Linked DNA regions of Pelodiscus sinensis. The protein of the gene in region 2 interacts with the protein of the main gene of each other region in a pairwise test. Links are inferred from orthologs where the notes say so. Each region holds a gene or a part of one and is shown on either strand. Other genes may lie near its edges. The genes, in order: CAV1 and KCNA3.

Region 1 (8,331 bases), on a different chromosome or scaffold from region 2:
TGGCAATTACAGAACAGTAAGTCTAACATCAGTACCGGGCAAATTAGTTGAAACAATAGTAAAGAATAAAATTGTCAGACACATAGAAGAACATTATTTGTTGGGCAAAAGTCAACATGGTTTCTGTAAAGGGAAATCATCTCTTACTAATTAATCTATTAGAGTTCTTTGAAGGAGTCAACAAACATGTGGACAAGGGAGTTCCAGTAGATATAGTGTACTTAGATTTCCAGAAAGCCTTTGACAAGGTCCCTCTTGGGCTCTTACGTAAATTAAGTTGTCATGGGATAACAGGGAAGAACCTTTCATGGACTGAGAACTGGTTAAAAGACAGGAAACAAAGGGTAGGAATAAATGGTAAATTTTCAGAATGGAGAGGGGTAACTAGTGGTGTTCCCCAAGGGTCAGTCCTAGGACCAATCCTATTCAACTTATTCATAAATGAGCTGGAGAAATGGGTAAACAGTGAGGTGTCAAAGTTTGCAAACGATCCTAAACTGCTCAAGGTAGATAAGACCAAAGCAGACTGTGAAGAACTTCAAAAAGATCTCACCAAACTAAGTGACTGGGCAACAAAAGGGCAAATGAAATTTAATGTGGATAAATGTAAAGTAATGCATTGAAAAAAATAACCCCACCTATATATATAATATTATGGGGGCTAACTTAGCTACAACTAATCAGGAAAGAGATCTTGGTGTCATTGTGGATGGTTTTCTGAAGACGTCCATACAGTGTGCAACAACAGTCAAAAAAGCAAACAGGATGTTAGGATTCATTTAAAAAGGGATAGAGAATAAGATGGAGAATGTCTTATTGCCCTTATATAAATCCATGGTACACCCACATCTTGAATACTACGTACAGATGTGGTCTCCTCATCTCAAAAAAGATATACTGGCATTAGAAAAGGTTCAGAGAAGGGCAACTAAAATGATTAGGGGTTTGGAACGGGTCCCATATGAGGAGAGATTAAAGAGACTGGGACTTTTCAGCTCGGAAAAGAGGAGACTAAGGGGGATATGATAGAGGTATATAAAGTCATGAGTGGTATAGAGAAAGTGAATAAGGAAAAGTTATTTACTTGTTCCCATAATATAAGAACTAAGGGCCACCAAATGAAACTAATAGGCATCAGGTTTAAAAAAAATAAAAGGAAGTTCTGCTTCACACAGCGCATAGTCAATCTGTGGAACTCCTTGCCTGAGGAGGTTGTGAAGGCGAGGACTATAATAGGGTTTAAAAGAGAACTAGATAAATTCATAGAGGTTGAGTCCATTAATGGCTATTAGCCAGTATGGATAAGGAATGGTGTCCCTAGCCTCTGTTTGTCAGAGGATGGAGATGGATGGCAGGAGAGAGATGGCTTGATCATTACATGTTCGATTCACTCCCTCTGGGACACCTGGCATTGGCAACTGTCAGCAGACAGGATACTGGGCTGGATGGACATTTGGTCTGACCCACTATGGTCATTCTTATGTTCTTATAAATGCTGACCAACTCTCCATGATTGTTTACAAGCTTTTCAATTAGAGTTTACATGTTGCATCTTGCATAACTCATATCTGAGTTATGCATATTCATATTCAAAAGCACATTTCCATAAAACTAAGGGGGCACAGAGTCACCATAAGCTCTTGCTCCAGCAAAAGTTGTGTCCTTGATGCAGGAATTACTGGGTGAAATTCTATGACCTCTTAGACCAGTGGTCACCAACCAGTAGATCAGGATCTACTGGTAGATCTTGGAGCCTTTGACAGTGATCCTGAGAGGTTTGGCCAGAAGACTATCAAGTGCTGGCACTTCGGCTGCCCCTCTCAGCACTGCCATGCTGCTCCTGCCCTCTGCCTTGGAGCTGCTCCCCGTACTCCTCCGTGGGAGCCTCCTGCTTGCTGTGCAGGGCATGGGAAGAAGAGGAAGGGAGGGTACTCAGGGTGCCCCTCCCTCCGCCCTGTACCCCACCTCCACAGACCAGCGGGGGGACGGGATGGAGGAAGTTTGCTAGCTGCTTTTGGGAGTGGTGCAGGGCTAGAACAGAGGTGAGTCCCCCTGCACCATCATGCAGAAGCCACCTGTGGTAAGCAGCGCCCAGCTAGAGTCTGCATTCTGAACCCCAGCCCCAGTCCTGAACCCCTCCAGCACCCCAAATTCCTGCCTCCAGCTTGATAAAAGTGAGTGAGGATAGGAGAGGGAGGATGGAGTGAGCAGGGGCAGGACCTCAGAAGGGGGGCGGGAAGGAGGAGGGGCAAGGGTATTTGGGTTTGAGGTAGATCCTGGATTGCAATTAAATTCAAAAAGTGATCTCATGCTTAAAAAGTTTGGAGACCACTGACTTAGACAATCATGGCTCCTTCAAGCCTTAACATCTGTGCATCAAGGAATGAGACTATATTTTAAACAAGTTCCCATGTTTCATGCCACATAATTGTTGGGGCCCAGTATCAGAAAGACAAATCACATAGGGAGGATATCAGTGGCCAAGGCTCTGATCCAATAATACACTTATGCATGTGCATAACTTTAAGCTCATGAAGAGTCTCACTGAAAATATTAGAAGATGGGATTCACAAAGGTATTTAAGCCAGAGGGGAGTTAGGCACCTAGATGCCTTTGTGAATCCAACCTAAATTACTTAAGTGAACTGCTCATTAATTCTTTTCAGTGTGTTGTTTTTAGTACTGCACACACTGAGGGTTGCTTACTGACAGACACTGTTTTTGAAATTAAAAAGAAACTGGCTGGCTCCTGTAGAAAATACATTTAAAAGAAATACATTGCCAGGGATGATTCTGATCTCAATCACACCAGAATATATTAGGAATAGTGCAGATGATGTCATTGGAAATACACAGGTGTAAAATAGGTGTAAAATGAAATCACAAACAGATTCCCCATGGACAGTTATACACTGTTACCTCTCAGTCTCATGTATTGCTGCTTGGAGACTATTTTACAACTCTGATACCTATTTGGTGTACTAGGAAATCATGTTGGGTGTTACTCTAGAAGCATATAACACAAGTGCAGAAAAACCTTCCACTTCAAAAAATGAGAATTATTGTCAGAATATTTTGTTGAATGCTACATGTAACTTTCAAACTTTAGGAAGGTTTCAATAATGTTTTCATATCTTCAGATAGAACTTTGTTGAAAAACTATCACAGCTGATGAACAGTGTAACTCCTGGTTACTATTCCTGGGCTCAGTCATGTTGCATTTCAATCTTCATTTGTGTTGGCTCATTTGTTTGTTTGACTCTTATGAAGGTAATGGTGTCATGGGAGATGGACACATTCCTATGACCCTACAGATCTGCCTCACACTCAGAAGTTGTTAGTATCAGTGCAATTTTCTCTTTATGATTTATTATCTTTTGACATTTTACTTTAAGCAGTAACTTGCATTCTTACCAGATCCCATAGTTCTTTTCAACCCCCAAGTTCCTTGATCTGGAATTCATCTTACAATGTGTATTAACCCTGCCAACTTTGAAAATTCTTTGAACTGCAGTGGTGCTGCTGTCCTAAATGACTTTGAAGCTTCTTAGAAACAGGTTTGTTCTGCACAATTTAAAAATTTTGAATCCACATAGACTTTGGAGTTAAATATATCTCTAATTTTGTCATCCTTAAGGCAGCAACAATGCTGAATAATGATTCTAGTTCTTCTCATGCAGGTGTGTGAAACTGACTAATTTAAATATCTCTAACTTGTAAAACAATATTGTGTTTTTCCTCAAACCCAGATTTTTAAAAGCTTAGGCCAAGTTTCTAGCTTCAGCCATTTTTAATTTATGCAAGCTCAATCTGTCTCATTGAAACACTTGTAAAGTGAAGTTTTGTATGCTAATTTAAGTCACTGACAGAATCAGTTTTGCTATTCTAAAAAAAGTTTATATTTGAAATGAGAATCAAGGTGAAACATAGCAATTATCAGTCCTTAAAGGATTTGCTTGATAAAGTTAAGAACACATGAAAAAAAGAGGAGGTGAAAGGAGGGATAATGCACGTCATTTAGGAACATCACTGTCTGAATCCTCTTTTCATATTTGTAGGTGATGAATTTAAAGGGCTATTTTACATCATGAAACCAAACTTTCCAGGTTCAAAGTTTACAGCTAGTTCTCCCAGTGCAATACCCTGCTCAAGGTAAAGTCAGAATAACTCTGAAAAGGTACACTTCTAAAAGGAAACAACTGAATGTTCCAACACGGTGAAATCTTGTATAGTAAAACAATGAATTAATTCCTATCACTAGTGCAGTAACTTTGTAACCCTAATCAAAATCAGTTAAGAGACAGAGTGCAAAACATTGTTATCTATTAACAATAAACCTGAATCCTTGAGTTATCATGGAATTTAGAGATTATGAAGAACCCCCATAGTGAAAACAATGCTGACTTTACTTCAATGCCTCTTATTTTAAAATCCTGGAAGATAATATGCATATGACAAACATGCTACAATATGCTGGCATTATTCATTTTCCACCCAGAAAAAAATACAGTAAATGCTAGTGGGAACTGTTAAATATTTGCATAGCTGTGAAATGAATCACTCGGGACAGTCTCTCTCTTGCAATCCAAAAAGAGCTCAATTTTCCACAATTGTTCTTATATGTAAACTATTGTCAAAGAAAAATACAAACGCCTTGCTTTGGTTTAGATGTGAAAAACAGATACTCTCATTACTTTCCGCTCTAAAACATCAACGCAACCGATTTAACATACGCGATGGGATGATGTGAAATAAGATTTATGAAGGAAATCGGAGGCTTCTGACTTAGACCAGAGACAGCTCCGAAGAGCTTGTAATCTTAGGGCTAAAATGAGGCGCTTCTCCTCCAACGCCCTCGCAACATGCCGACGTGCTGCAAAGTGATTTTCCTTTCCGAAGCAAGCAGCAGCCTCGCTTGGATCGCTGTATGAATGGTTGGCAAAGCAACCTCGCCCCATGTTTCAAAATTTGCACAGGCAGAATAAGGTCGGGAAAGTCCAGTTTCAGGATTCTCCCCTCCCTCCTCTTTATACCCCCTGCTGCTCGGAGGGCTTTGGGCATGTGCCTAGACCCACCATTGCTGTCATCGCAGCCAAAAGCAAACAGAACAAACTCTGGCCGGCGGCCAGCTGTCTCACTTATAGCTACCACCCCTCGCTTGCTTTCTACAATACAGGATCTTCCTTTCTGAGCTCGCCTAAATTAAATCGCAGGGAAACCTCAGTCCGACTCTCCGCCAAGTCCAAGACAGCATGTCTGGTAGCCAATACGTAGACCCAGAGGTAGGCTTTGCCTAGGATGGGATCCTTTTAAAAGTCAGTTTCAGTTCAGATACTTCTTGTGCCTGCTTCTTCCTGGCTACGAGTACCTGCTTCAAGCTAGCGCTGGCTTCTCCGGGCATTCTTGGCGCTTTTCTGCACTGATTTTGCTCTTGACCGTGACCCCTTCCCGCAGAGGAGCGAGGCGGTGCTGGGGAAGCTAGCTTAGAGATAAGCAGGGCGATCGGGGTTGGGGGGGGAGGGTTGGTTTGTTTGGGGTTTTTTTTCCCTTGTTTTTGGTCCATGTTGCTGACTCTCCAGGGAAACCCGATCTGTCGGCACCTCTCCCCATCCAGAGCCGCTCGCCTTCCCTGAGTCCGGTGTGTAGGGACCCGCGGCAGGGCGAAAGGGGCAGGTGAAGCGCTGACAGCTCCTTGCGCGGGTTGTTATTGAGGCTGCGGGTTGTTTTCCGGCCAGCCCGAGTGCCATGTTGCACGAAAAGCGAAAGTCCCCCAGCCGCTCCCTCTCCCCCCCCCCCCCAGGGGGCTGTTCGGCCCGCGGCAGCCTCTGGGGCAGGGGGCCCGCTCTGCCCCCGGCAGCGAGTCCCCTGGGAAGGCAACAGCCTCTCCCCTCCCCCCGCCGGACCTGAGTGCCGGGGTGCGGTGCGAGGGACGGCGGCGGGCTCGCCCCGGGGGCTGAGCTGAGGTCAGAGCTGCAGAGGGGGCCGAGTGAGGGACGCTGCGAGGAGATGGGGGGCTGGGCCCAGGGCTCGGCCTGGGGGGGGGGGGTGCAGAGCCGCGACCCCGGGGGCAGGGCCCGAGACAAACGCCGCGGGCTGAGACCTGGCGCGGGGATGGGCCAGGGGCGCTGGAGAGGGGCCGGGGCCGGGCACATGCCCGAGGGGCGCGGCGGCGCTGCCCGGCCGGGGACCCCTGGCGGCGGGAGCGGGAGTCGCTGCTCTGCCTGGTACCGCGCGCCGCAGGGAGGGAGGGCGGGGCGGGTGTGGCGAGGGCTGCTGCTTTTATCCCGTTAAAAAGCAGCCGCGGGGCAGGCTCGGCGCTGACGGGTTCCGGGCTCCGCGCGCGCCGCTGGATGAGCGAGTAGCCCCTGCCCCGCCAGCGCCCAGCCCCGGGGAGCCTCACCTCTGCCCCGCTCCGTCCCCAGGGGCTGCTGTACAGCGCGCCCGCCCGGCAGCAAGGCAACATCTACAAGCCCCACAACAAGAGCATGGCCGAGGAGCTGAACGAGAAGACGATGCACGACGTGCACACCAAGGAGATCGACCTGGTCAACCGGGACCCCAAGCGCCTCAACGACGACGTGGTCAAGGTAAGGGGCTAAGGCCAGGAAACGCGAGGAGCAGGGGGCTGGAGCTATGGGGGGGGAGACGGGACTTTTTTGCCACAGCCGCTCCCAGGGGCGCGGAGTTTGCAGAGAAGCCACGGAGGGCGTGGAGCGCATTGGCGGCAGCTCATTGCTTCCCCGCCGCGCTGTCCGGGCAAACTTCGGAGCCAGCGGGGGTGGGTGGGTCACGCTCTTCTAGCCAGTTCTACAGGAGCTCTGTGGTCTGGGCCCCTTAGGCAGCTTGCGAGTCGCGGGAGCGCAACGCCAGCGGGGGGGGGACCTGCCCCCCGGCTCTGCGCGCCCCATAAGGCGGGAACCTGCCGCAGGGGTGTTGATTCCGCACCCTTCTCAGAGCCGCTGCCAACTCTCTATCGAGTCTACACGGGAACCAGGTAGCTGCTGGAGCTTTTGCACTTTCCAAGCCAATACCACACAGGGCAGCTACTCCGCGGGAAGGGGCTGCCCCAGCAGGGAACCCGCGGGCTGTGTGTGTGCACTGACAGATGTACCCAGCGTGTCCTTGTGTTGGAGTCAAGCTGGCTGCAGATAGTGGTTCATAGTGGGGTGGGGTGAGACATTGAGTGAACATTACCATATTTAACACAGGAAGGGAAATTTTACTGGCCAGCAATGATTCCTGTAAGTACCCTATTAAGGAATAGAAAAAAAATAAAAAAATCAAATTGCATTGTTAAGAATGTTGACCAGGATTTTGCTAAGTGATTTTCCTGTGGAACAGCTTTTGCCTGCTCCAGCTGCATACAGCTCACTTTTGTTAAAGCCAATTGCATGCAAAACCATAGGGCCTGGTTATTTTTTCTCCTGTACTGAAATAATGAAAACAGGCAATACAAAAAAAAAAAAGAAATAACTGTGGCTGGATTTTTAATTCTAGTTGTGATCATTTCAGCAAATCTCAGTTAACTGTCAATGTTGCCAAGGCCAAGGGTCAGAAAAACCCTAGTGTTGATCCTTCTTTAGCAGAGGGTGTATACTGCACATGTGAAGGCCAATGACAGTGTTGTTCAAGTTAGAATATGGGGGGGGGGGGGGGGAGAAACACTCACTTATTTCAAATCCAGCAGTAGAATGGTGCAATTTTAATCCATCCTGCCACTAGGCTGGGAGGTAAAGCCTGCCTTTTTAGATTAAAGAAAACATTTCATTCTTTCTGTATCAGAACAATTTCACTTTTGTTGATTTCACCAACTCGCCTTGAAAATTTAGACCTCTAGAGCATAATCCTAAAGGGTACGGAGCATTCTTAAATCTCATTGGCTGCAATAAGATTTCAAGCAGGGGCTGCCCACCTGGTTGGATCAAGTCCTAAAAGTTTTTGCAGGCAGACAGTATGCATATGGTACTATTTTCACTATGTTGGCTTTACAATCTAGAAACAAAAGTTAAATTCTGTACATATGGAAAAATGGTTGACAAAACACAGAATAGTACAAATCTAAATTTACAAACCACCGACTTGTTTATCAACTGATTTTTTTGGTTTTCCCTTTGGCTGTGAAAGAAAAGGTGTAGCAGGAGAGCTATACAGGCGTTCAGAGAGCAGCATGGTAGTTCTCGCCTGAGTGCTGCAGCAGTAGTAGTTAAAAGTCCCCAATGCAACTGAACCTTCTGAGTATGAGTCATAGCCCCCAGGCAGACTGTCATCTGGGAATCCACTGAACAGAAAAAGAAAGATCCCATTGGGAAGAGAAACACAGGGAAAAAAAACA
Region 2 (8,339 bases):
ACAGGTGTTTTATTCTGAACATGTGCAGCAGCATCCTACCTATTCCTAGGATGATCATTTTGCTTCGGTAGGTACCAGGACTGCAGGAATGTTTCAAATCTAAAGCAGTGTGCATGGAGGGTAATTAGTGTCTACACCTAGCTCTCTCTGGGATTAACTCTCTGCATGTGTGTGTGGTTTACCAGAGCAGCGGCTTTTCCGTGGAATCGCAGAACTTGGAACCATCTGGAAGGGTTACTGTGGAAACAGCACAGGCTGAAGGGGGATGGGGCGAAGGGATACCATGACAACCTTTTGGGGTTTCCCAGGAAACCAGTGTTGCTATGGAAACTGCATCACTCAGGTCCGAATTAGTAACTTCCGCTGGAAGGCGTTTGCCACTTAATCCTCTTGTGATAGATGCAGACACTTATCTCAGATACATTGGAAATGGACAGAAATACCCCCACACACACTTTGATACTAGGCTCGAGTTTTGTTTGAGGCTGCACAGTAACTTCTAAAAGCCCAATACTGATTTAATGGGAGCCTAAGTTTCCCCCATCTGCATTGGCCTCACAGGATGTTCAAACTCTTAGGATGCTCTTCGGTTAGTCAGTTGCTAATGTGGGAAGGATATTTCCCCACAAACACCATGCAGCCAGGAATTTCAGGTGGGATGAAACAATTCCATAGGTGGGAAAAGGAAATTAGGCACAGAGAATATGGGCAATTTTTCTGATTAAATCACAACTGATTGCACTTGGGTCTCTGAACAGATTAAAATTTCATAAACGATCTGGCTAGGGAAGAAAAGAAATCAAGGCTGTGCCCATGAAGGACATGCACCACATGTTCAATATTTAGCATAATTTAACAACATGGCCATCAGTAAAATTAAATGGTTTTCTCCCCCTTGCCTGCAAAAAGGCTCTGCCATATAATTTTATTTTTCTCTTCTGACTCACGGTTTTCTGTCCAACAAATGCGTGAGTGTGTGATCGAAAGGGAAATCGGCTGCACAGTGACTCTTTGCAAAAACGAGAACAAACCAAACCAAAAAAAACCCCCAAGCTCCAAAGCAGCCCTGCAACATGTTTCAGAATAAACACCTGTTTCAACGGGGAGCGTGTTCTTCTGTTGTTGTCCTTTCATCTTCCCTTCCATAACCACCCTCATCCTCTTTTCTTCTGATTATTTTGTAATCCTCTTCTTTGTTCTTTAATAGGAATGATCTAAAAAATATATGTGTAAAACAAGGGCACACGCAGACCAATGAAGATGCATGTTCCAGACAATACCGATTACATGGTCACTTTGCATTATTATTTTTTAAACATTTCCTCTTTTTAAACATCAGTGAAGATCTTTTTGATGTTCACACAGTTGGGATTGTTTGTGGTTGTGCAGTTTCCCGTCTTAAAGGCAGCCTGTTTGAATGCAGTGTTGTTGATTCCCCCCTCCTCTATCACCATGTACTCCGACTTGCTCAGGGTGGAATTGCTACGTGCCTTCCTCAGCTCCTCCGTAGAGGAGAGGTGCTGGCAGCTCCCGACATGTAGATATTGGGCTTGCTCCTCACCTTCAGTCTCCCGGTGGTAGAAATAATTGAAGTTGGAGACTATCACAGGCACGGGAAGGGCAATGGTCAGAACCCCAGCAATGGCACAGAGAGACCCCACAATTTTGCCCCCAATGGTGATTGGGTGCATGTCCCCATAGCCCACTGTGGTCATGGTCACCACCGCCCACCAGAAGGCATCAGGGATGCTGCTGAAGCCTGAGCTGGGGTCATCAGCCTCTGCAAAGTAGACAGCGCTGGAGAAGAGGATGACTCCAATGAAGAGGAAGAAAATGAGCAAACCCAACTCCCTCATGCTGGCCTTGAGGGTCTGCCCCAGGATCTGCAGCCCTTTGGAGTGTCGTGAAAGCTTGAAGATACGGAAGACCCTCACCAGCCGAATGACCCTGAGGATGGCCAGGGACATGGCTTGCTGGCCATTCCCCTGCCTCTCGGCCAGTTCTGTGCCCAAGGTGATGAAGTAGGGAATGATGGCCACAATGTCGATGATGTTCATGATGTTCTTGGAGAAGGTGGCCTTGCTGGGGCAGGCAAAGAAGCGAACGAGCAGCTCGAAGGAGAACCAGATGATGCACAACGTCTCCACGACAAAGAAGGGGTCGGTGAAGGACGAGACCATGGAGACGGCCGAGGAGGAGGAATTGGTAAAGACCTCCGTGGCCAAGGGGCCGCTGCTTGTGCCAAAGGTCCCCCCGGTCGCCTCATAGTCACGGTCGTCCCTGAACTCTGGCAAGGTCTCCAGGCAGAAGATGACGATTGAGATGAGGATGACGAGGACCGAGACAATGGCGATGCCTCTGGCTGGCCCAGAGCTCTCCGGGTATTCGAAGAGGAGCCACACCTGGCGCTGGAACTCCTTGTCGGGCAGAGGCCGCTGCTCCTCGCGGATGAAGCCCTCGTCCTCCCGGAACTTCTCCATGGCCTCCTCACCCAGCTGGTAGAAGCGGATCTCCTCGGAGAAGATGTCGATGGGCACGTTGACGGGGCGCCGGATGCGGCCTCCGGACTGGTAGTAGTAGAGGATGGCGTCGAAGCTGGGCCGGTTGCGGTCGAAGAAGTACTCGTTGCGCAGGGGGTCGAAGTAGCGCATCCTCTTGCGGGGGTCACCCAGCAAGGTCTCGGGGAACTGAGCCAGGGTCTTGAGCTGCGTCTCGAAGCGCAGGCCGGAGATGTTGATGACCACCCGCTCGCAGCACTCGTGCTCCCCGCCTGGGGCGTGGCCGGGGGGCAGCGGGACGTGGGCCGGGGGGTGGTCGTAGCGCTCCCCCCCCAGCAACGGGTGGGGGTGCTGGGGCTCCTCCAGCAGGGGGCCCCCCCCGCCCACCACCACGGTCATGCCGCCCTCCTCCTCCTCCTGCTCCCGCCCGGGCTGGGGGGCGGCGGAGGGCGGCTCGGTGTAGCCCGGGTTGTGGTGGCTGCTGCCGCCGCCGCCCCGCGGGTGCCGGCTGCAGGAGGAGGCGGCCGGCGAGCGCAGCAAGCTCCGGTGCTCGTCCATGCAGGGCAGCGGCGCGGCCGAGAGGAGAGACCCGCCCGCCGCCAGCCGCCGCCGCTCGGCTCAAAAAGTCCGCCCCCCGCCCAGCGCCGCCCAGCGCCACTCAGCGCGCCGGGGCCGCCCCCGGACCGCCCAGCCCGGGCGTGGGGCGGGGCGGGCGGGGAGCCCGGGGGCTCTGCAGGGAGCCCCGGCTACCCCAGAAGGAGCCCGAGGCGATGGAGCCAAGCGGGCTGCAGCCCAGATGCCTCCCAGCGGGAGGTGCCCACCCCAGGCTAGGAAGCATAATGGGCATCCCGGGGGGGGGGCAGATCGGCTCGCCCCAGGCAGGGCTCGGGGAGTCCCTCTCCACTGAGGTGCTGAAGCTGAGACATGGCCAGCCAGGGCACCGGGAAGGCACCAACCCGTCCCGCCCAGGCCAGGTGGAGCTCAGAGAGATGCCCCCGTGCCAGGAGGAGGAACACGCCCAGGCTGGCAGTGCCCAGGCTCCAGGATAATAGTCCACCGTGCTTGGGTCAGAAAACCCGCATTCTCCCTGCCACGAATTGTGAGGCAGAATTCACACCCCCCCTTGGGACATATACAAATGTCATTTCAAATCCACATCTTGAAACAAAATACATTTTAAGGGAACAAGAAACACAAACAAAAGGTTTTGTGTCAGCATTTGGATGAAGTTGTGATTTTGTTGTTTTTATTTGAATTGGAAGAAAACTAAAGGAAATAACATTTTACGTCAGAACAAAACCAAACAGGTTTCATGGCATCTAGAACTGTTTATTCAAACGGAAAATGTTTGTTTCACTGTTTCCTGCGGAAAAAACCAAGATCTTTCATCAAAATGAACTTTTTCCTGTGAAAATTTTTCAGTTTTGATGAAACATGGTGTTTATGTGGGGAAAACACTCTGCACAAAACATGTTGACCAGCTTTAATAGTTACCTCCTCCACCCACTTGGCCATTTCAACTAAGATGCTCACCGAGGCAATATTTGCTAGGTAGCTACAACAATAAACTTGCCCGTTTTGGGCTGCACACCCAGTGATAATTAAAACACTAAACTAGTGGGTATCGCAACACAATGTGGTGGATTTTTTCAATAAGTGACCTCTTGTTCTATTTCCTGAGCTAAGTTTTTTCTCCAGGACGCGTCTTGAAATGCAGGGTAGAATTCTATGTACATGATTCTACTAATTCCTGGCCTGCTCAGATTGCTAAATTGGAGAGGAGTCCAGTCCAGATCCTGGCTAAACAGCAGTGTTTTCCGGAGGGAAAGGGATAGCAAGATGGGAAATGTAGAGCACCAGTTTTCTAGATTCTACTCCCCACTTTGATTTATTGCTATGGTTATTTTTAAACAAAACAGCCTCCAGAAGGGGGAAACCTATAAAAAGATCAAATTTATTTATAAATAAATAGAGCTGTAGAAAATACACGAACGTATAAAAGGAGCCAAGAATACATGGAAAGCTACAAACAAAATTACAAAAAGAGGCAGGGTGGATTTATCAACAGGCACACCACATGAAAATATCACACAGAATACCCATGCGTCTAACGGAGCTCAAGCTAGCTTTCCCTTCACCACACTCTGCCTCAAAAATGGAAAAGCTCCAGATCCTCTTGTGGCATCATTCTAACCCAGAGCCAGATTGGCCAGTGCAAAACACTCTGCTCATTCACTGGAGGAGCCTAGGACTTCACACCCAGGCCAAGCAAAGCCTCCTCCCAAACAGCCTTTTCTTGCAGGCAAATATCCTGCGTGTGTCCTTGGCACCTAATAGGCAGCCAGTCTGATGCTCTTCAGCACATGTGCCTTGTACTTCAGGGTGCTCACCTCAGAGAATATCTGCCCTTGAAGACATCTTATCTGGACAGCTACAGCCATGCAGAGACTGAGCCACGTGTTAAGGAGCATACCCAACGTGGTGAGCATGTCTGTGATATGCGTCTCACAGGCCTGCAGAGGAGAAGGGACAAAGGGGACAGTCCCTGGGGCCCAGTGATTCAAAGGGGCGTAGGCCAGCAGAAGTGGCAGCTGGAACCCTGAGTCCTTTCAGTCGCTGCTGGAGCACGGCACTGAGTGTTCCGGGCAGCGCTAAGGGCTGGGGGTGCCACACTCTGGGTGGTGCTGAGCGCTGCCTGTGGGCCAGCATGGTGCACTCCGGGCAGTGCTCAGAGCTGGCTGTCCCCAGCCCCACCCCTTCTGCCTTAGGCTCCACCCCATATGACCAAAACTCCAAGAGCACTTAGCCACCCCCCCCCCCACACACACCTTGCCCAAGGGTGTCAGTACCTCTGCAATTCAAGAAATGCACCAAGGTGACAAGTGCACTTCAGGCAATTGCACTGCACTAACTTGAGGGAGTGGCTGTTCCTTACCATCCACTTGTACAATGTCAGAACAACCGGTCCTCAGCCTGACTGCATGCTCCTGTAATTTGTACCAATGTTAACAATTAGCGATAGTGCCTGTCCTTCCCCTTCACAGGCACAATCATGTTCTCTGCTGCCAGTCGCCAGGGAATGTGCAATATTAGGGGCATGCAATGTAAATCTAGGACTGTCAGAATCCCCTTTTACCGGTCTGCCCACAAAGGACAGGAAGCCAAGGAAATTCCCAATCACTTCCGAGTCAGGGGATCTATTTTTCTGTGCTTTGCATTTCTGGTTCTAACTGTGTCATGTTACACTCGAGGGCTCTGCCTCGTTTTTGCAGATACAGACTCATGGCCACCCCTGTGAGACGTATTTAGGTGCAGCACATGAAGATTGTGTGTGATTTATCTCTTCCCCCCTGCTGGAAATGTGGCCAATAAATCAGTGTTGTCTGGCCTCTAGGACACAAATAAGAACGTGGTAGCCCATGCACAGCTTTGACGGATGAGGAAAGGCTCAAGAGGAGAAGGCAAAACTTATATAAATGCGTAAAGTCACAGACCTCTGTTGTCAGTAGGTGGGATTGACCAGGGAACCTTAGGCCCTGCACCACTACCACATGAGCTGACTGCCAGCTGACTTTGTACACCTTCTCTGTGGTCTCAGAGTCTCTGGGTTACAAAGGCAATTATTTGCTATGGAATTTTTCAGTCGGGAGAATAATGCACCTCCAGGGGAAACTCATGCAACTACTTTGTATAGAGAACTCCAGCTGTAGCTGAAGAAAAGTGCATTATTTTAGGGGTGTGAAGTTGATTCTCCAGTTGATAGAGGGGTATTATAAGTAGCATGAGGGGGGTTACCCGAATCTGTCAAGGAAAACATATAAATGTGTTAAAATTACAGGGGGAAAGAAATATTGCAAAATGTGAGGTATTTATGGGGATGTTTGCCTGCCACCCTGGACTGCTCTCAGCTGGTGTGAATCAGGATGAGGTCATCAAACATTAGTTGAGCTACAGTGACTTACTCCAAGCCTCCTCTCAGCAAGGCAAACAGAAATGTACAATGGGACCTTTTCCTCAAATAGGAACTTCATGCTAAGCAGAATTTCTGCCCCTGGAGCGGGACAACCTTAATTTTGCTCTGTGAGTGAGGCAAGAACTTTACTGACCCACCCTTTGCTGGTGGCCTTCAGTGCGACCTTGTACAAGAAAAGAAAGCTTGTGATACAATGTAACAAACTTCTACCCTCATTTTTCTCTTCAAGGGCCCTTTAAGGGGAGATTTTCAAAGGGACAAAGCATGGATTGGCCCCCAACTCCCCCCCTGAATGCCAATGAGAGGTGAGCACATACCTTCCATGTGTGCTTTTGAAAATCTCCTCCTTTCCCATGGGCACAGAGCCATTTGATGCTGGTTTTTCCAAATTCCTCTTCAGCTAAATTTGAGATGTCTTCAAAGCAAATGGCAGAGTGTTTTCCGAAGGATCCATAGGCAGCAAACGTGCACCGCCATGCCATGACCAATTGATCAGCAGAAGCGTTTGTCGTGTGCCACTTCTTACCACCTAGAATACTCAGCAACAGCAGCTAAGTGCTGGTGCGTTTGCTTCTCCATCATGCTATAAATGTGTAGGCTCTGCTAACGCTTAACAGATTCCTTGCATGGATGAAGTGATTAGTGCCACTTTTCAGTGAGTGCCATTGCATCCCCGTTGACTAATTTCCTCTTCAAGGATCTTGGGCTCGTCCTGGCCACCAACAATATCACTTCTAGCTGAGGCTTTCAGTCTCACTGTATAGTTCAACCAGCTTTTTGGTATTGCTGCCTTTGGACATAAGTGTCAGCCGATGGTCAGGGCAGTGTGTGTGTGTGTGTGTGTGTGTCACACCCAAGTCTTTAACTGCTGAGACACAAGGTCCCGTCACAGCAGGCAGCCTAGGAGGCTGAGGGGCACCCCAAGAAGTTTAACGTCTGTGTCTTTACCGCTAGGACCGGGGTCCCGTTGCGGAGGGCAGCCAACAGGCTGACAGACGCCGCAGAGTTTAACGTCCGTGTCTTTACCGCTACGACTGGGGTCCCATCGCGGAGGGCAGCCAGCAGGCTGACAGACGCCCCAGAGTTTATAGGAAGAGCTTATTACATCTCAGATTTCAATTGCTAGGATACAGGATCCCTTCACAGTGGGCAGCCAGGGAGGCTGAGAGATGCCCCAATGGATCTGTCCTCTGGAAGCAACACGACCCAACACTCAAGTTCCCCCTATACCTGTCCCTTATGACCGGCTGAAGTTCTTTTAAATTGTGCTTGGTTCTGTTACAGCAACTGAAGGAGTCAGGTTAAAACTTAACCAGTTACAGGTTTATTAAAGAAGCTTATAAATCATATGGTTACAATGGCTATTGCTCCACTTCTTAACTGCTAGCAAATATAGATCTTAAAATGGTTACAAAGAAAATAAAAATAGAAAATAGAAATAATGGTACCAAGTGACAGCTTAATCTTTAAAGAGCTCTAAGTCTACGTGTACACTTAAGACAAAGGACCAAATCCAGGTACAATTTTTACCCCCTTCTGTGCCTCTCAACTCCAGCGGGTCAAGCCAGGGCCGGTCCCTCAATTCCTAGGAAAGACGAATACAAGGTGGGCATCCCCATGGAACCTCGGGAGGTCAAACACCTAACCCGACAAGCAGATAGATAGTAGATTGACACTCAGAGTAAGTGTGCTGCTGGACCCATCTTTATACCCATAGGGGCCCGTATCCTCTTTCTTATCTAAGATGCCAAATTGTACTGGTCTGTTTTTGTGGCGCCAGTTCTTACAAGCAAGTTTCAACTTAATTTACACTTACAAAAGAGAACTAAATTGTGAGTACTGGACATTTTTTTACTGGGCGAGAGATT

Evidence for each region.
Region 1: the proteins of KCNA3 (region 2) and CAV1 come close enough for resonance energy transfer, tested with the Homo sapiens proteins (2 studies listed by BioGRID). The link is inferred for Pelodiscus sinensis from reciprocal best matches to the Homo sapiens genes KCNA3 and CAV1.

What each region holds. Positions count from the first base shown.
Region 1 is NC_134711.1:45,953,042-45,961,372, reverse strand, and holds the start of CAV1 (caveolin-1), read left to right. Parts: upstream 1-5,123; 5' UTR 5,124-5,251; coding exon 5,252-5,281; intron 5,282-5,533; exon of another isoform or gene 5,534-5,672; intron 5,673-5,939; exon of another isoform or gene 5,940-5,962; intron 5,963-6,421; coding exon 6,422-6,586; intron 6,587-8,331. UniProt on the Homo sapiens protein: May act as a scaffolding protein within caveolar membranes. Forms a stable heterooligomeric complex with CAV2 that targets to lipid rafts and drives caveolae formation. Mediates the recruitment of CAVIN proteins (CAVIN1/2/3/4) to the caveolae.
Region 2 is NC_134737.1:17,440,856-17,449,194, reverse strand, and holds the start of KCNA3 (potassium voltage-gated channel subfamily A member 3), read right to left. Parts: upstream 3,118-8,339; 5' UTR 3,057-3,117; coding exon 1,329-3,056; 3' UTR 1-1,328.